4 linked regions of the Caenorhabditis elegans genome follow. The protein of the gene in region 1 interacts with the protein of each later gene in a pairwise test. Each region holds a gene or a part of one and is shown in the gene's direction. Other genes may lie near its edges.

What was found.
Region 2: the proteins of pas-6 (region 1) and brp-1 interact in a two-hybrid assay, tested with the Caenorhabditis elegans proteins (3 studies listed by BioGRID).
Region 3: the proteins of pas-6 (region 1) and eif-2Balpha interact in a two-hybrid assay, tested with the Caenorhabditis elegans proteins (4 studies listed by BioGRID).
Region 4: the proteins of pas-6 (region 1) and mthf-1 interact in a two-hybrid assay, tested with the Caenorhabditis elegans proteins (3 studies listed by BioGRID).

What each region holds. Positions count from the first base shown.
Region 1 is NC_003283.11:5,582,656-5,585,963, reverse strand, and holds pas-6 (Proteasome subunit alpha type-1), read left to right. Parts: upstream 1-1,620; 5' UTR 1,621-1,629; coding exon 1,630-1,779; intron 1,780-1,825; coding exon 1,826-2,018; intron 2,019-2,067; coding exon 2,068-2,138; intron 2,139-2,187; coding exon 2,188-2,317; intron 2,318-2,367; coding exon 2,368-2,606; 3' UTR 2,607-2,803; downstream 2,804-3,308. Other genes in the region: CD4.11 (MAM domain-containing protein), read right to left, coding at 1-72, 120-411, 737-782. UniProt on the Caenorhabditis elegans protein: The proteasome is a multicatalytic proteinase complex which is characterized by its ability to cleave peptides with Arg, Phe, Tyr, Leu, and Glu adjacent to the leaving group at neutral or slightly basic pH.
Region 2 is NC_003281.10:12,018,924-12,025,832, forward strand, and holds brp-1 (uncharacterized protein), read left to right. Parts: upstream 1-1,628; coding exon 1,629-1,706; intron 1,707-2,393; coding exon 2,394-2,573; intron 2,574-2,630; coding exon 2,631-2,876; intron 2,877-3,220; coding exon 3,221-3,667; intron 3,668-4,605; coding exon 4,606-4,813; intron 4,814-4,866; coding exon 4,867-5,057; intron 5,058-5,944; coding exon 5,945-6,253; 3' UTR 6,254-6,398; downstream 6,399-6,909. Other genes in the region: Y79H2A.12 (Serpentine Receptor, class BC (Class B-like)), read right to left, coding at 6,636-6,745.
Region 3 is NC_003281.10:9,541,297-9,544,905, forward strand, and holds eif-2Balpha (Translation initiation factor eIF2B subunit alpha), read left to right. Parts: upstream 1-1,822; 5' UTR 1,823-1,845; coding exon 1,846-1,960; intron 1,961-2,012; coding exon 2,013-2,278; intron 2,279-2,341; coding exon 2,342-2,523; intron 2,524-2,582; coding exon 2,583-2,784; intron 2,785-2,832; coding exon 2,833-2,985; 3' UTR 2,986-3,108; downstream 3,109-3,609. Other genes in the region: Exonuclease mut-7, read right to left, coding at 1-798, 870-1,059; ZK1098.9 (uncharacterized protein), read left to right, coding at 3,155-3,296.
Region 4 is NC_003280.10:7,773,360-7,779,660, reverse strand, and holds mthf-1 (putative methylenetetrahydrofolate reductase (NADPH)), read left to right. Parts: upstream 1-1,837; 5' UTR 1,838-1,911; coding exon 1,912-1,994; intron 1,995-3,155; exon of another isoform or gene 3,156-3,290; coding exon of another isoform or gene 3,291-3,310; intron 3,311-3,364; coding exon 3,365-3,439; intron 3,440-3,489; coding exon 3,490-3,862; intron 3,863-3,919; coding exon 3,920-4,657; intron 4,658-4,704; coding exon 4,705-5,118; intron 5,119-5,167; coding exon 5,168-5,322; intron 5,323-5,366; coding exon 5,367-5,520; 3' UTR 5,521-5,753; downstream 5,754-6,301. Other genes in the region: snpc-1.1 (snRNA-activating protein complex subunit 1), read left to right, coding at 1-16, 70-265; C06A8.6 (U2A'/phosphoprotein 32 family A C-terminal domain-containing protein), read right to left, coding at 5,796-5,897, 5,948-6,106, 6,163-6,301.

The sequences.
Region 1 (3,308 bases):
CTCAATGGACTTCCAGAGTCAAATCTTTGCGAGTCAAAATTATTATCTGAGTTTAACTTTGATTTCCAGAATCTAAAAATAGTAATTTTTGAAATTCTATTAAAATTGAAAAAAAAAACTTCATGTCAGTGTCCGCTGCATTATGCCATCCACAATATTCCATATCATCGTCAAAATGACATGTAAGCTTTCCACCGTCGGATACAGTTAGCATTGGTTTCACAGGAAATGGGGTAAGAGATGAGATCGAACGAATTTCAGTTGCGGAGTACGGTAGATTTGATGTGAGGTAGTCAAAGTCAATTGCATTTTCACTTGTACGTTGTAGGGATGAGACTCCGCGAGCTCTGGCTCTTCGAGATGAAAATTGACTGTACTGAGAGCTCAGGGAGTGACAAGCAAAACTGGTATCTGAATTAATTTGAAGGTCATATCTAGCTAAACTTTTGATTTGAATTACCGCGCTTTTGTCTCTAAACCACACCTATTTTTCTGTGCCGCACTTTGCATTTTTACATTTTAGACGCAAAATGGTTCTAATCCGTGTTCCAATTTTCAATATAGAAAAAGCCCTACAAAATGAGCGATTTTTCTAAAATCCCAAAAATTAAATTTTAAATTTTGAATAACCTCAAGAGCGACCATTAACAAATTTTCATGATTTTTTAAATAAAAAAGGACAGAAAAAATTTGGTAGAAAAAAAGATTTCAAATCCAAAACTTTTTAAAAACTCACTCAAACCATAAAGTAGCAATATCAAGACATATATATTAAGTACCATACTTCATGAAGAAAATAGTTTGAAAACATATAAATTTCGATTTCAAATCGCCTTTCTCAAAGTTCAATGAGCGTGTGGTATTGCGTACTCCCGAGAATGAATATGAACTACTGGTAAATTGCCTAATTAGGTACGGTGTTTCACTGTCGAGAGTCACAAGAGAAAGTGGGTCAGTGGGTAAGAAAAGTGAATGAGAGGAAAGATATTTATTATTCAATAGACATGATTGAAAAATGAAACTAGAGATTTTCAAAGACAGAGCTTTGTAGTATAGCCTTGCCAGATTTAAACAGGAATTTCTAAGATATTGAAGTCAGGGAATCGGCCACCACCATCAGTAGACAACATTTTAAATTTTAAATATTCAATTCCTCAAAAATTAGATTCAAAATTTAATTCGACGTTTTCAATCACGTTTTCGCAATTTTCGTTCAATTTCGTGTAATATTTACTTGTTCACAGTTCTCTTCGTGGATTTTGAGTGTCTTTTTTTCGAAATTATTTTGAGGATCTTACGCAGTTTTCACCAGAAGAATTACATAATTCCATGGAATTCCATGCCTGGAAATTTCTTTCACTTTTTGCCGCCAGGTATACGGTAAGCAATTGCGCGTAAAGTGTGGTGTATGCGTACTCGCTTATTTTGTCATCCTTTCAAATTTAGAACTCATTTCAGAGGTTTTCTTTCGACTTCTAAATATTTTTTCTTTGTTTCTGTGGATTTAAATAAACTCCATATGTTTTTCTAACTCTTGGTTCATCTTGAATCACACTCTCTGCTTATAAAACTGCAAAAAATGGCTAAAAACTTCAATAAATTGTAATTAAGAGCTTTTAGGTTTGAACCATGTTCCGCAACCAATACGACGGCGATGTAACAGTCTGGAGCCCACAGGGACGTCTTCACCAAGTCGAATATGCCGTTGAGGCGATGAAGCAAGGTTCGGCAACTGTTGGAATCAAGAGTGAAACCCACGCTGTCATCGTCGCCCTGAAGGTTGGCGAAACAACATGTTAATTTCAATTAATTATATTCGTTTCAGAGAGCGCAAAACGATTTGTCGTCTCATCAGAAGAAAGTGTACGAAATTGACACTCACGCTGGAGTTTCCATCGCTGGTCTCCTCTCCGATGGTCGCATCTTGGCTCGCTACCTCCAAACCGAGTGCTCGAGTTGGCGTTGGGATTACAAGCAAGCGGTTCCAATCAAGAAGCTCGCTGAATCTATGCAATTGAGTAAGCGAATTTTGGAAGCAATTTTCTCAAGACATTGTTCTTATTTCAGAACTTCAAGCCAATACACAATATTATGGCCGTCGTCCATTCGGAGTTGGAATTCTGATTGCCGGATATGACGTAAGAACATCATAAATATAATTGTTCTTTTAAATATTTTTTTGTTCAGAAAGATGGAGCACACATCATTCAAACTGACCCATCTGCTGAAGTCGTCAGCATGCATGGAACTTCAATCGGAGCAAGATCTCAGTCTGCGCGCACTTACCTCGAGAGAAATGTTGATAACTTCGAGAAATGTATTTATTTCGGAATATAATTGATAAAATTGAGCAATTTCTTTTTTCAGCAACTCCGGAACAATTGATTGTCCATGCTCTCCTTGCTCTTCGCGACACACTTCCAGCCGAAGAAAACCTCAACGCTCAGAATACGTCTATTGGAATTGTCGGGAAAGATTCTCCATTCAGTCTTCTCGAAGATGCTCAAGTCGCCGTTCATCTCAACCAAGTTTCCACACATCCACGCACAACTGGCGGAGCAGCAGCAGCAGCAGCTCCAGGTGGCGCCGAACCAATGCAAATGTAGATTCTAATTTGAATCACAGACCATGTGAATTACTTTCGTCTCCATTTCTTTTTTATGTGACCCGTATAATTTATCGCCGGTTAATCTCCCTCTCGTTCCCGAATTAAATTATTTTCCTGCTCCAAAAGATTGATTACATATTAATTTCCTTTTTCCGTTCAACAGTCATGTATATGTTGCAGAAAGAACATTAAAGGAAGCACTTCTCGTCATTCGCGTCCATGCCTTCTGTCCATTAATGATGGATGTCTGCGCCGTAGTACACCACGCACCCGCCGTCTTCCGCTATTCCCCGGCGAGCTGCTCCACGGCATTATTCCATAGTTCTTCTCTTCAGTGTTCCATACACTACTACATCACTCAAATTGTAAATCAGCGAAGAAAGGGGAGCAAAAGAAGAAGAAGGGGAGGAGTGTGTGTGATGCAAGAGAGAAGAGTTTCAAATTTCGTCGAATTGAGATTGAAATCTTCTTTGTCGCAGTCAACTCTTTTCTTCGACCCACTTCTGCCTTTTTTTGTTTTTCGATTGGAGCTCTTGACAATTTTTATACATTTTTCTTCATTTAAAAATCCACAAATAGGTAAAAAAGGGAAGTAGGATTTACGGATCTACTGGAAGTTGTTTTTCTAACAAGCGGTTTTGCTTATTATGATCACGAGCAAAACCAAAAATGTTTCCCAAGCGAACCACAATCAATGCCC
Region 2 (6,909 bases), on another chromosome or scaffold:
AGAGTGCCCCCACAAGAGTGGGGGAGAAATAAGAAATAATAAAATAAGTAGGCAAGCGTAGGTGGGGGGGGGGGGAGGGGAATACTGTAATTCTGATCGGAGAATATTTAAAATTGTGGCAACCACATTAAAAACCGATAATAACTTATAATAGGACAAAAATAATTTGGAATATACCGTATTTCCTCTTTTAGTTTTGCACCCCTTTGCTCAACTTTGACAGCTCATATCTCATTTTGTTTTGAACATATAAATAATTAACAAACTACAAACTATAGAAAAACATCTCACAAAAATTTTATCAGTTGACAACTTTTCTATGGAACAAAGAACTACTGAGATATGAGCTGTCAAAGTTGAGCAAGCGGGTGCAAAACTAATAGAGGAAATACGGTATGTATCGTAAACTTCTGTATATACATACTTCCCTGTTAGTGTTGCATGTATCAGGGTTGGGCGGTAAATAATTTTTCCGCCAAATTGGCGAATTGCCGGAATTGAAATTTTCAGCAAGTCGGTAAACCGGCAAATTGCCGATTTGCCGCATTTTCCAGAAAAACGGCAATTGTCGGACAGATTGTGGTTTTGCATTTTTTTTTTGTTCGAAATTTCGTGTTTCACTATCAGTCTCATAAAAAAGCCCTCTAAAAACTTCCGGCAAATCGGAAATTTGCCGAAAATCGAAAATTCCGGAATATCAGCAAACCGGCAGTTTGCCGCCCACCAATACTAGTTCTAAATGAATATTTTTTAGAGCAAACGGGCTTTTTCTCACCAATTTTTTCGTTTTAAGACAGTTCTCGATATGAGTTTAACTAACTAAAAATCACAAAATTTACAAAAAAAATTATTATAACTCACATTTTTTAAAAATCATGCAGAGCGCTAAAAATACCAAAAATCATACTAAAACATTTCAAAAAAATGTAGACATTTTTTCGAAGAATCTGCAGCATGTATGAATATTTCAAAAATAATTAAAGCATAAAACTGGAATCAGAACTTTTTTTTTAACTCAAAATGAAAAATGTTCCGAAATTATATTAATAGCTTTACTATGATATTTGTTCATTTTAGGCCGTACTCCACCTTGTATGCAGGCACATTAATATTTATAATAAGAGAAAAATAAACCCTCCGCATTTGAATTAACACATCCTACCTATTTTTACCTGAACCATCAAACTTTGTATATTATACTCTGCCCTTAAACCCTTGCTGCAAAAAATGGAAAAGAAATCAAAAATCAAAGTATCCTTTATCATTTTAAAATTTTTCACAGAAATCTTTATCATCATCTGATCGAGATTTTCTGGTCAAAAACAAAAACGAATGACGTCATTCCTCTCTCAAGTGTACAGTAACCAAGTGGCCGGCTATTTTAAAAACTCGTTTTGTGTGTTTCTTCAAAACTTGGTGTCACTTCCTATCAAAACATCGGGAGATCATTTTTTGTTCATTTTCCTACACCGCGCGGAAGAGTCGTGAATGCCAACCTGTCAAAAATGTTTAATGCTCCGCGAGAGAAAGTGAGCCGCTTCTCTAATTCTCCTATTGTGCGCATTGATCTCTTCTCTTTTTTTTGTTTTTGTCTTTTACTCGAATATCTAATCAAGAATCATTTACAGATGACCAAACTAGGCGCACAGCCCGGCGTTCACGGGAGTGAGGACGTTGAGAAGGAGTCTATCAAGATCGATCCAAAAGTGAGTTTCTATTAAAAATATTCAAATTTTCTGAGAACTGTTTTTAGTGCGAAGTTCAAATTTTCTCATAAAAAAATTTCAGCTGGAAATTCGAATTTTTTTTAAGAGATCACGTTTTGGCGCGAATTACAAATTTTATGAGTAACAAGTCGTAGTGTCAGAGTGTCCCATTTCGGCTTGATCTACATAGATCTACAAAAAATGCGGGATTTCAGACGCAGGCTTCTCAGCTGATTTCGCATGGTTAAGAACATGGCTGACGTCATGTTTTTTGGGCAAAAAAGTTCCTGCATTTTTTGTAGATCAAACCGTGATGGGGCAGCCCGGCACCACGTGTAAAAACAGTTTGCCTCGAAATTCAAAATTTTTCACAAAAAAATTTTAGCTGGAAAATCAAATTTTCTGAGAAAACGTATATTGGCGCGAAGTTCAAATTTTATTAGAAATTTTTTTGGCGCTAATTTAAAGTTTTATGAGAAAATACATTTGACTCGAAATTCAAACTTTATGAGAAAACGTATTTTGCCGCGAAATTTAAATTATCCGAGAATAATTTTTGGCGCGAAATTCAAATTTTCTGAGAACATTTTTTGGCGCGAAATTCAAATTTTCTCACAAAGAATATATTCGGTAACAATAATAATAATAACGTTAGTAGAAATATCAACAAAATCTGAATTATTCCAGGTGTTCACAGTCCTCCAGCCCACAGTGATCCCAATGCCGGCTCCACCAATGAAGCCTGCTCCATCGCCAGCTTTCCAGGCGATGAGAGCATGCTTCCATTGCATGTTCTTTGCCACGTGTCTTTTGCTGGTGACACTCATCGGTTTCTACTTCCTCGCCGCTACTCCTGATCTCTTCAAGGTACAGGGTTTTTTTTTAATTTTAAGCTTTTTTAAACTTAATTAATTGATATTCCAGAAAACCGAAACATCCGTGAACAAGCCACAAATGGAGGCACTTCTAGCTCAACCAATTGATGGATCATCTGAAAAGACTATAAACTCTGCGGAAAATCCAGGAATGATGGCAATTCCCTTGGCTCGGGTAGTTGTAGTGGAGGATATTTCGAATAATGAAGGTCAAAAGAAGACAACTGTTGATGGATCAGTTGAGGAGAAGTCCTCTACCAATTTGGATCGCCCACTTCATCCAGATGAGATTGAGGTTAGTTACCAAATTATACCATATATATACATAAATATGGATTTGTATATATATATATATATAAATATATATATATATATATATATATATATATATATATATATATATATATATATATATATATATATGCATATGTAGGGCTTCCATAGACAGGCGCGGTTCCAGGGCCTGCCTGAAGGGAATGCCTACCCGCCTCAAGCCAGCTAAACTGCTTTAAAAATTTTAGGCCATTTTTTGAGCTGCCATAACTTTTTTTTCAAGAGGTTTTTAAGAAGTTTCATTAAGAAATTCGATATTTTCAGACAATTTTGAGTCTAATAAATCAATAAAAGCAATTTTTTCAGCAATACCGAATGATGGAGGCCCGCCAACAATTCCAACAAATAATGGAGGAACGTATGTACATGCAACAAATGATGGCAATGCGAATGATGAGAATGAGAAGACTTCAAGCCGCCTACTACCAACAACAACAAATGAAGATGGCCTACATGCAACAACAACAGCAACAGATGCAGGAAGAGGCCGCCCGTCAGCAATGGGCCGAGAGATCCCGCTATGAAGAGGAACAACGTCGTCAGTACGAGGCTCAACAGACCTATGCTCAACAGCAGCGTGCTCAAGCTTTCTGGCAACAACATCAGTTGGAGATGCAGGCTCAGACTCAGCAGGCTCAGGCCCAGGCCCAATGGCAACAGCAGGAGCAACAGCCACAGGAGCAGCAGAGACAGAGATTCTGGCCAAGACCAATGATGCATCAGCAACAATGGGAGAGACCAACTGTCTGGCAGGTAAGGCGATTTGTAGATTTTTAGATGATGGGCTACGAATTTTTTGGCATTTGGATTTTAGACACATTTTCCATTTTGAAAAATTTGAATTTTTGCTTTTTTTTTTCATAATTTTTTTCAAAAAACTTCGAAAATTTTTCGTCGTATTTGGATCAGGGGTGGGCGGCAATTGCAGTTCGGCAAATTTTTTTTGAGTAAATTGGCAACTGAAAATCGGCAATTTGCCGGTTAGCCGATTTGCCGGAAACTTTTGATTCCGGCAACTTGTCGGTTTTCCGGGAATTTCCAATTCCGGTAATTTGCCGATTCGCCTGAAATTTTCAATTCCGACAGTTTTCCGATTTGCCTGAAATTATCAATTCCGGCATTTTGCAGATTTGCCGGAAATTGTAAATTTTGGCAATTTGCCGATTTGCCGGAAATGTTCAATTCCGGCAATTTTTAGATTTGCCTGAAATTATGAATTCCGGCAGTTCGCCGGTTTGCCGGAAATTTTCCATTCCGGCAGTTTGTCGATTTGCCGGAAATTTTCAATTCCGGAAATTTGTCAATTTGCATGAAATTTTTAATTCCGGCAATTTGCCTGAAATTATCAATTCCGGCAGTTTGTCGATTTGCCGGAAATTTTTAATATCGGCAATTTGCTGATGTGCCGGAAGTTATCAATTCCTGCAATTTGCCGATTTGCCTGAAATTTTCAATTCCGGCAGTTTGTCGACTTGCCGGAAATTTCAGTTCCGGCACTTCGCCGGTGTGCCGGAAAATCTTAATTCCGGCAACTTGCCGATAAGCCAGAGATTGTGAATTCCGGCAATTCGCCGGCTTGCCGAAAAAAATCGTTTGCCGCCCACCTCTGTTTTTTGCTTAGTTTTCGGGATCTGAAACCGATAAAAATTTTCACTATTTTTTTTGTCAAAAAACCATCAAAAAAATTCCAGCAACCACCCCAACAATTCTTCTTCCCATCCCAACAACAACAGCAGCATCAGCAGCAACCACAACAGACCCAACAACCTGAGGACCGTTTCCCACAGGCTCCACAATTCTTCCAACCAATCCCACAACCATCAGTTCACGATAAGATCTACGAGGAACTTCAGAAGAAGTCGCAGAACATTCCAGTCAACGCACCAACTCGTCAAATCTGTTAGTTGTTTTTTTTGCAAAAAGCCCAAAAATTTCAATTAATCTTGTATCAGGGACAGCAATCACTCCAACTCCAGCTCCAGAAGCTGCATCTGGAACTGCTGACGTCACAGCTTCACCCATCAACACTGCATTCCCAGCAGTTGTCACGAGCAGCACACCAATGCCAGAGGATGCCGCTGAGGTTTCTGATACTATTCTCAGAGATATCTTCTCAGCTTTCGATGAGCAAAAGAATTCAGAGGTTTGTACATCAGGAACATGTTGGTTCGGCAAATCGGCAAATCGGCGAATCGCCGGTTTACCAATTTGCTGCCGATTTGCCGGAAATTTTGCCGATTTGCCGGAAATTTTCATTTTCGGCACTTTGCCAGTTTGCCGATTTGCAGGAAATTTTCTATTTCGGCAACTTGCCGGTTTGCCAATTTGCCGAAAATTTTCAATTCCGGCAATTTGCCAATTTGCCGGAAGTTTGAGTTCCGGCAATCTGTCGATTTTCCGATTGACCGGAAATTACAATACCGGCAGTTTGCCAATTTTCCGGAAATTTTCATTTTCGGCACTTTGCCAGTTTGCCGATTTGCAGGAAATTTTCTATTTCGGCAATTTGTCAAAAATTTAAGTTCAGGCAATTTGCGGATCTGGTTCCAGCAGTTTGCCGATTTGCCAAAAGTTTTAATTCGGGCAATTCACCTATTTGCCGAAAATTTCAATTCCGGCTCTCTGCCGGTTTGCCGAGTTGCCGGATATCAATTTGCCGGAAGTGTTTAGAAAGATTGTTTATTTATATATAGTCGGCACGGTACAATTTTGCCGACTAATATTGTAATTCTGAAGTTCTGAAATTGCCAAAAAAAAGTGCAAAACCACAATTTGCCGGAATTAAAATTTCTGGCAAATCGGCAAACCGGCAAAAATTTGAATTTCAAAAAGGCAAGTGTTTCCGTCTTATAAAAAATTTCTCTAAAAATTTCCGGCAAATTGATGTTCGGTAAACGGCAAATCAGCAATTTTCCGAAAATCAAAATTTCCGGCAAATTGACAAACCGGCAATTTGCCAAATTTGCCGAACGGCAATTTCCGGCCCACCCCTGTTTTGTGCTCACTGAGGCATAATGAGTAATATTCCAGGCGGCCAACAAAGAGCTCAACTCAGCCACCCCATCAACCACCGAAGAGCCAGAACTCGAAGGAAAGGGAGCAATTGTGATTGAGGACAGCTTCCCAAGAATCGAAGAACGCACCACAACACCTGAACCAATGGAATCTGAAGAAGATGCTGAACATACATCATCTGAAGATAATCATGAGAAGGAGTTGGATCCATTCGCAGCTGTTCTCAAATTCTTCGAGAACAATCCACCACGTGAGGCTCTCGAGGCAGCAGGGGCTGAGACAGCAGCAACCACTCAGAAACCATTGAAACCACTGATTGTTTGAGAATTTTAATTTTGAGCTGAGCTAAAAAAAAATAATTTTCGAATGTAATAATTGTTATACAATTCGTCCTCCCCCGATTATTTTCCATCATCATCATCATCCCATCTTTTACGCGTGCAGGTTTGTAAATAAAATTATTCGCTGTTGAATTTGTATTTGCAAATCAAGAAAAAAAAAGTATTTATTTCAGAACGTGTGGTGTCAGAGTGTCCCATGTTGGTTTGATCTACGTAGATCTACAAAAAATGCGGCAGAGTTCTCAACTGATTTCGCATGGTTAAGAACGTGCTGACGTCACACTTTTTTTGGCAAAAAATTGCCGCATTTTTTGTAGATCAAACCGTGGTGGGACAGCCTGGCACCACGTGTTTCCAAGGAACTTTCAAAACTTCATCACATTTGTTAAATCCGACTGTCTAACCAGCATCCCATTCTCGATTCGTTTTGCATAGACGTAACATCGATTGATTAGAATGAATTTGATTATTGATACTGAAAAATTTTTAAACAATTTTTCGCTTTAAATTACAGAATATACGCCTAGAATATATGACCAAATATGACTGTGAAAATTTTTTCAAAAATGTCCTAAACTTTTAGTGAATTTTTACATATTTCAAAATTCATAGAAACGACCGAATTAAATTTGAAACATT
Region 3 (3,609 bases), on another chromosome or scaffold:
AGCTCCACAAGTAAAACAAAATAGGTTCACGAACATCTTCGGCTTTGGTAAAAGTTTCAACCATATGCTGGAAATAGTTGTCATCGGATTTTCCCTTCTCGTATCGTTCACTGATATTAAACTTCAATGCCTTCAGATTCCCATTCTGTGAGTGGTTTTTGGCGAACTTCGACAATTCCCTGGAGAAGTTGTATTCGTGAGTATTTTTGTTGATAATCGTCGAAATGAGTTTGTCCAACGTTTTTCCCGTCAATTTCTCCATAGGAATCGTCATAATTTTGGTTTCCTTGTAGGGTTTCAGCATCTCTTCAACGGCAACCACTGAGATTCCAACCATTCGATCAAAAAACTCTACAAGCTGCTGTTGCATCCTCTCATTGTTACTTATCAATTTATAAGCCGTTTGATCTTTGCCAGATAGCATTAATGGAAGAACAAGATGTTCGAAATGATGATCCCGTAGAAGATTGTACTGAATAGCCATATCTGCAGCAACGGAGAAGTCTTGTTTCTTGATGGCAGCATCTAGCAACTGTGTAATGTCCTCAGTGAATTTCTCTTTGGTGATATCGAAGATTTCACTGAGAAGCTGCTTTTGTCCAATTGTGCACACATCTAAGGCGTTTATTTGAATAGTTCCAGTCAGATATTTCTGTCTGAGCTCCGTCTCCTGTCCCGACTCTTTTAACCAAACTCCAAAATCCTCCAGATACCAAACCGCCAAACTTTGTCCCGATGTTTTTCCTCTATCCGGCATCGCTTTCATCATATCCACAGCCATTCCGTAGATGTTGACTCCTTTAAATGTATAGATTATGAATGAGGGTTTTTTAAAGTTTTTAATAATAAAAGAACTTTAAAATGTTTACCTGATCTATAGTCCTCGTTGAAAAATTCTCGATTTTTGGCTCGAACTTTTCTCTCCCGCTCAGACTCGGGTCCATTCATAATTGCTTTCAGAACTTCCCGGCGTGACTTCAACGGTTCGGCGTAGTCTGTTCGATATTTTGCCTTTTTCTCGGCTTTCGTTAGCTTTCTTTTGTACGGTTCTTCTTCCATTTTCGAAACGGACAAGCTTGATTCTGTAAAAAGTATAAATAAATATTTGTCGAAAAGTTAGTACAAAAGAAATTAATCAAAGAACAAGGAAAACGTGTTTCCCCACGAGAATTCGTATTACGGAGAGGAAAATCTAGAAACGGCCCAAAAACCGAAAGAACAACAGAAAAGCGTTGTGGATTATTCGATATCCAGCACTTTTTGCACAAATTGAGGCAAAAATAATGGAAAAAGAACCAAGAAATCAATGAACAAAATGGAAAATGAATTTTTAAAAAATTGTCGATGGTATTTAAGATGTGCAGGTTAGCGAATAGTACTGTATCACGGCGGCGATTCAAATGATCTACGAAGCAATTACACGAGGAAAATTAATGGAGATTATGGAGCAAATTGAGGGAATTAATTATAGTATAAAAGTTTCGAAAAGGAAAATTATTATTTATTATCCTATTTAGTTCGCCACACAATGGGAGATTTTAGATGCGTAAATAGTTGAGAGTAGAAAGTAAACTGACTGACTCAAAAAATATGTTTAAAATGTTTATTCGAGATTGAGAAAATAAATTAAATTTCACGAAACCTTTTAAATACATAAGTAAAAAAATGTTTTGTTTTTAAATTTGCCACTATCAAAACTGTCTAACTCTCTAACTCTTATCTTCTCTGCGTAACGATAGAGCGCGTTTACATCATTATTTTTTCATTAAATTTTTTCTATAAATATTTCTTCTTTCTACGACAAACGTTCTCCATTATTGTTTTTGCAGACTTTTTCCATCTAACATGGTTCAAGAAAGCATTATTTCATCTTTCCGTGGAAAACTTGAAAACGATCCAAGCAAATCAACGAGTCTAGCCACAGTGGAAACACTGCTCGAGGTTTTAGACCGGAGTCGCGGTAAGTTCCTGAATTTGAATATTTAGGCAATTAATTTTTTGCTTAATTACAGCCACCACCGTTGCCGAATTTCAAAATGAGCTAAATCAAGTAGTTGCTGCTCTCGAGAAAACGGACTACAGCTCAACATCAATTCGAAGTGCCGCTGATTTGTTCACCAGATTCACTTCTCTGGCTCCAGCTGCTCTTCTCGATCAAGAAGATTTTTCTCAAGTTCTTGATCTGTATCGCCAACGAGCACGCTCATTTATAAAGAATGTCAGAGGTTCTCGAGCCAAAATTTCCAAGTGCGCTCGTCTATTTTTCACTCATCATATGGTACGTTTTTTTTTCTATTTAAATAATTCCTATTTAATGTATTTTAATCTTTGTATTTTCTAGAATATTCTGACACACTCATACAGCAAAGTGGTTCTGGAAACTATTCTTGATGCTCACAAAAGTGGATATCACCTTCATGTCTGGGTCACCGAATCGCAACCGGATGCTTCAGGAAAACTAGTGTTTGAAGAATTGAAAAAGAATGGAGTTCCAACTACTTTAGTTCTAGATAGCTGTGTGGGGTGAGTGGAAATTATAAAAAACAATAAGAAAAACGTATATACATTTTTTATTTTTTAAGATATGTCATGGAAAGAATTCAAGCAGTTCTAGTTGGCGCTGAAGGAGTCATGGAAACCGGTGGAATCATCAATAAAATTGGAACTGTTAATGTTTGTATCATCGCAAAATCACGGCATGTTCCCGTCTATGTTTGCGCTGAAACTATCAAGTTTGTACGGGAGTTCCCACTCAACCAGGCCGATATTCCCCAAGAATTCAAAGTAATCAATTTATATCAAATAACTCAATCAGATCTTTCATTATTTCAGTATCGAACATCAGTAATTGAGAGAAACAACCTAGAATTGGAGCATCCCGATGTGGATTACACCGCACCCGAATTTCTGACACTGATCATTACTGATGTCGGCGCAATGAAGCCTGAAGCTGTTGGAGAAGAACTCATTAAAATGTATATCTGAGGGTAGAAATTTATTTGAACGTGTATTTAATTCAATCAAATTAAATTAATTTGTTCTTGTTTTGTTTTTTATAATTATGATTGGTTTTTTTCTTTTACAAAAATAAAAAATAACGTGGAACCCAAAACTATTCATTTCGAGTTTTTAAAAACGCTCATTCATCAAAAAGATGAGTGAAAAGCACTTTATTTTGCCATCTAGCATGCTAATGATAGTTTCGGCTGTCTTCGGAGGTATCGGAATCATCACTACAATCGTGTTCGTGATTCTGACAGTTCTTCATTCAAAAAGTGCGGTTTGTAAACCTGCAGGTTAGTTTTTGTTGCGAAATTGTGCAATTTTTACCCAGAAAGTACGGTTCCCGGTCTCGACGCTACAATTGTTAAATTCTGAAAGGTGTGTGCCTTTAAAGTGTACTGTACTTCGAATTTTTAGACTTTTATTAGTTTTTCGATATTTAAATATTTATTTATTTATCTGAAACTATGAAAAATCGATGCAAATTCCATAACAACGAAAATCTGAAATTACAGTACTCTTTAAAGGCGCACACCTCTTTGGATCTATCAAAAACTTTGCCGTATCGAGACCGGGTATCGTATTAGCATGACGAAAATCGCAAAA
Region 4 (6,301 bases), on another chromosome or scaffold:
TAACTGCTTCCCAAATGTAAGTGAAGATTTTTGTTTTTTTCTTCAATTAAAAATTATTAAATTATTCAGTGACGAATCATTCACATCGCCTGCGAACAAGAAGAACAGAAAATCGGCCAGCGTAGTTGAAGTGAAACCTCGAATCAGTGATGAATGGGCCAACAAACTGCACGCATGGCATGGACAAGTCGAGGCTACGGATAAACATTTGAAAAAGTTGACAAGTCAAATTAAGCTGGAAGTTATTGAAGACGAAGAAACATAATCATTTCATTTTCCTTGCTAACCATTTTTTTTAATGAAAATTATACTACATGAATTTTTTTTTTGAAAATTAAATTAAATTTGCTGCTGAGTTGCCTATCATCTCCGACTTTTGTTATTTTATTAATCTCTGTTGGTTCAATCTTTTCAATCTTATACTTTTATCTGTCCAACTTCCAATTATCACCAGTGATAAATCGCCGCAAAAGACCAATTGAAATGGCCTGATATCGTGCATTACATGATTATTTCATACAGTTATCATCTTGTGCTGTAGCCCATTCGTGAAAGCATTGAGTGCACTTTTCAGAATCTTGTTGTAGTTCTACTGAAAATTGGTTTTAATCCTATAGGATAAAATTTTCGTTTGTGATGGGAAGGCAGTATTGAGAAATTGTGGTTTTCGTTTGAAAACGTACTATGCTAAAGTTCTCTTCAAATGACGATTAGTTCAAGGTCTTGCTTAGTTTCCCATTCTTTCTTGAGATACTATCAAATAGTAACTATCTACGACTTTCTTACTTATCCTTTTTTTCTAGAACGCATCCGTATTTTCTCAGTTACTCTTGCACCAAATAACTTATATGACTGCAGATATCAGAAAATATTTAATATGTTATAAAAACTACAAAAAAAAAATTTTGTTTTGAGAAAACAACAGAATTTTCAAAGTTGAATAATAGAGCAAATACCTAAATGCTAAATTTCGCTGTTTAAAAATTACGGTACCCGGTCTCGAAACGGCCAATAATTTTCAGTGAAAGGAGAGGAGTGCGGTTTTAAGGAGTACCGTTGTTCAATTTTTCTTAGTTTTCACACTCACTGTTTATTAAAAATTGAAGCTTAAAAAACAGGAAACGATAAAAAACTAAGAAATCAGCAAACTGCTGAAACTACTGTACTCTTTAAAGGCGTACACTTGTTTTTGTTGACATATTTTTAATCGTGTCAGGTACCGTACAACATGGCACTGGCATCTCCATATAAACATCACTGCATAAGACAAACAAAGAGAAGTTCCACGTTGAACTATTTGGCAAATTTTTGGCAAAACATTATTGTTGTTGCCCCGATAACAACCCAACCAAATCGTTCACAGGTCATCATGCACCAAAATATTGTTAATACTCATTTGTTATCAAATTAAAAGACTTCCCCACTCACTTTTTCTGCTTCAAATACCGCTATTTTCAAAAAATGTTTCGATTTATCTTTTTTGTCTTTTGTAAGAATCCGATTTCTATGAAGGAATCGGCGCCCCGCTGAGAATGTGTATTGCTTCATGTATGCAAAAGTGCACTGAGTGCCACGACGAACGCTTTAGTGAGAGAACGAGAGACCCAGCATGCTATGTTCCTTCTATATAAATATTGAACAAAACAAGTGGTTTTATGCCAGAAGCACGTTTGTTTCTCATTTTCTTGTCATTTTTGCTTAGATTAAGAACATTTAGCGGACATTGATAGTTCTATGACTTCTCTTTTTTCCAATTTACCAACCGTTTGCCACCTTAACGCTCCGCCCTTTTCTCTGATTGTATAAAAGAATCGGACTTAATACGAGCAAATTTCAGTCGGTGAATCTCATCAAACAACGGATTCGTGGTTCCCGACAGAGAATAACTACGGTTAAAACGAACCAAGGAAAATGACGAATACTGGAGAAACTAAAGTTATTGAATCTCATGGAACCATTAAGAAGATCGATTCTCTGTCCACAATGCCATATTGGTAGGTTCTTTATATTAATCTTCTAAACTTAGAGCATCTTTTTATGTCTCAAAATGCTTTTAAAAAAAGCACTGAAATATGCCTCCTTTCTACCAATTCTACCTACTTGACCTCTATCTTATCAGAAGACATGTCTACCACCCATTTGTCCCACTGCGATCACAAACTGATCTCTTATCAGTGTCAACTGTTGGATACCATTGATATTCACGTGATTTGGGCATTTTTATATTGTTGAGAGTGAAAACCTTTCAAAAAAAAAATACAATTTCTGTTCAATTTCAAGAACTTGAAATTTTCAAAAAAAAAGCACGCTGATTATGGCTAAAGTTAGAATGTTTAGTTAAAAAAAAAGAAACATATGAGAAAATGCAGAAAATGACCTGAAAGTTGCCAATTACCGAAAAACAAAGCTTGATAATTCGACAATCGGCAATTTGCAACTTCCAAGTAATTTTTAAGCACTTTTTCAAAATTATCATCCGAAGTAAACTATATTTACAGCTAAATCGATTGATTTCCTATATTTTAAAACTAATTTTTAACGAAAAATGTCGGAGAAACATGGTGCATTTATATACTAGAATTGTCCAAAATATTTGCAAGTTGCAACCTTTTGAATCACAAATAGTATTTTTTTCAAAAATGAGCTAATTGACTTTTAGAAACATAGTAATTACTTATCGTTGCTAATGATTTCATCTCTTATCACCCCACAATATCTTATCAATGAAGGTGAACACGGCAGAGTACAAAACGTGTCTATTATCAGAAAAAAGTTTGTTAGTCCTCTGCGACACATTATTCTCTCTGCACTCGGAAAAGATCGAATACTGATCTATCAAATTTAAATCTAACCGTGTTTTCTTGCCTTCTAGGAGACAATTTGATCAGTATCTCTCTATTAAGTGGAACAAAAGACACCAAGCAAGAAATTTCCAAGGAAAAATACAGGGAAATAATTTATTCGATCCGAAATTTCAAACAAGAAAAAGCTAATATATCATTGATGATAGTGAATTATTATTTCGATGTAGCACTGTATTAGTTCAACATCAGCTTTTTGTTTTCCGAAGTTCTGAAAAATTTGAAAAAAAGTACTTTCCTACTGTGTCAGTATCAAAGAACAAGTTGTCCAAATCATAATTGTTACGTTCCTAGATCTCTCCCGAGATTCATATCGAATCACATGATGATTCTGGAGAAGATATATAACACTCCGCCCTTAGAATCCTGTTTGCCACATTTCTTCATTTGTCGCTAACAAATTTTGTTTCCTCGGAGACTCTAGTTGAAATGGCCGTTTTAAGTAAAAAGTGGGTTGTTGATTCAGGTTTTTTGATCGAATAATATAATATTTTGAATTTCAGTGGTGTTGAGACCGATGAGAATGCGGTTGTCGAGGAGAAGATAACTCTGGAATCTGGAAAGAGCTGGTCACCAAAGTAAGTTTTGATCAGATATAAAGCTATTACTAAACAAATTTATATTTCAGGCATTATGAACTTCTTCACGAGAGAATTGAACGTCTTATCGATGAGAAACAACAATTCTTCTCTCTTGAATTCTTCCCACCTCGATTTGTCAATGGAGTTCCAAACTTCTTAGAGCGTGTTGAACGTCTTTCCGAAGGTGGATCCGTCTTTGTCGATATGACATGGCATATGGGAAGTGATCCAGCTAACGTCGATAAAGTGACTTCATCGTCTTCGATTGCTGCTTCAATGCTTGATTATTGTGGAGTCGACACTATGTTGCATATGACTTGTGTTCAATACAATAAAGCTGATACTTTGAAACATCTCGAGCAAGCCAAGGCAATGGGATTGAGAAGTATTCTTGCTTTGAGAGGAGATCTCCCACCGGGCGTAAGTTAATCATGAAACAAGATTGTCAAAAAATTAAATAATATTTTTCAATTTTAGACTGAGCTCGAAGATACCCATCAATTCCGTGCACTTGATATGATCCGCTGGATCCGCGAAGAATATGGAAACTACTTCTCAATTGGTTGCGCAGGATATCCTCTTGGACATCCACAAGCTCCGTCTTACAAAGCTGATCTTATGTACTTGAAGGCAAAATGTGATGCTGGAGCAAACTTCGTCATTACTCAATTATTCTTTGAGGCTGAAACTTTCGAAAAGTTTGTGCGCGACTGCCGTGAAATTGGAATCACTCAGCCAATTATTCCGGGAATCATGCCAATTATGGGTTATGAGTCTATCAAACGTATTGCCAAACTCTCACAACTTGAGATTCCACAACATATTCTTGATGATCTCGAACCAATCAAGCACGATGATGATGCTGTTCAAAAGTACGGAACAGAGCGTTGCATTGAAATGTGCCGCCGTCTTCTTGACAATGGAACTGCCCCTTCCATCCATCTATACACTATGAATCGTGAAGGAAGTATTCGTGAAATTCTCAAATCTCTTGGTCTCTGGAAACTCGAGGGTGATCGTGTTTTCCCATGGAAAAATCGTTCGCAACATCCTATCAGATGTCTGGAAAGTGTTCGTCCAATTTACTGGAGTTTCCGCCCACGCAGTTACATCACCAGAACTCGTGATTGGGATCAATTCCCTAACGGAAGATGGGGAAACAGTTCATCGCCAGCATTTGGAGATGTCAGCAGCTACTACTTGTCTAATTTGACGGTTCGTTCAAAGATTGTGTTAGAACTTTCTCACAGATAAAATTTCAGACTGTTCGAAACGCCGATGACCGTCTAGCTATGTTCGGAGCCAACATCGAGAGTTTTGAAGACGTCAAGCGCGTGTTCATCAACTACATTACTCAAGCTCCAAACGCCGATGGCGTCAAGGTTACTGTACTTCCATGGACAGAAGCTGAAACTGGTGTTCAGCCAGAAACTTCATTGATCAGTGAACAACTTGTTTGGTGTAATGAGAATGGAATTCTGACCGTCAACAGTCAGCCATCAGTTAATGGAGCTCCATCCACTGATCCACTTGTTGGGTGGGGAAAACCAGGAGGTTACTGCTACCAAAAGGCATACCTCGAATGCTTCATGACCGCGGAGTTGTCCGACAAGCTCATTCAAATCATCGAGAGAGAATTCCCAGTCAGAGTTAACTACCATGCCATCAATAAGGATGTATGTTTAAAAAGTAATTTTAAAAACCATAAAATAAATTCTTCTTCAGAGTACCTTCGACAAGACCAACAGCGAAGAAACCACTCCGATTGCAGTTACTTGGGGAGTATTCCCAGGATCTGAGATTGCCCAGCCAACAGTCGTCGATCCACTCTCTTTCCGCGCATGGAGAGATGAAGCTTACCAAATGTGGATGGCCCAATGGTAAGGTATCTAATCACTCGTTCTGTCTAATTGTTTAATTTTAGGGGAGATTTTTATCCAAAAGAATCTAAATCATATGGAGTCATCAAGGCTGTTCATGATGAGTTCCGTTTGGTTACTCTCGTCGACAACGACTTCCAGAAGCCATCAGTTCTTTTCGACGTACTTCAAAAGGCCCTCGACGAGCTGAAAAAGTAAAAATCATCAAACTAATTTGACTTTTTGACACGTCTGATTTCAATTCATTCAATTTTCCACCACGATATTCACTTCCGTTGATGAAATACACCATTGGTTGGGACACTTCCCCTTATTCTCTATTACCAGTATTACCCTATTAAGTTTTAGCTTCAACAACCCCCGATTCAAAATCGCTCCCTCTTTTATTTTATTTATTTCCGGCTTCCTTGTTTAATAAAATATCAATAATCAAGAAATCTTCATCTAGTTGAATAAATGCTAAAGTTCAAGTATTAGACGGACTCAGTGGGATGATCATCAGACGGATTATCAAGTACAACACGCGAAAGCTCTGTCTCATTCTTCTCTTCTTTTGGTGGACGGAGCATCGAATGCTGAAATTAAAAAACAAATTGAAGATTAATTTAATTAAGTTTTAAATTACCTCACGGCACTGAGTTCCATCAAGACGAGTAATTTGTTGCAAGAGATGAATAACCTTTCCACGATAAGTATCCACTGATGCAATTGGATTGAAATCGAGGTAAACACTATTGAGTTGTGGAAGTTCAACCAATTCATCCATAATGCTCCAGTTATCCAACTAAAATTAACAAAGAATTGATTAGTTATGGAATGTAATCAAATGATCTATATTACCTTATTTCCTCTTGCCCAAAAGTCTGTAAGTGTCTTCAATTGATGGATATTCTCGACCTTCTCAAGACGATTCTGATTGAAATCCAGAATTTCAAGAGGAAGATGCTCATCGATTCCACAAACGTACTTGATGCCATTT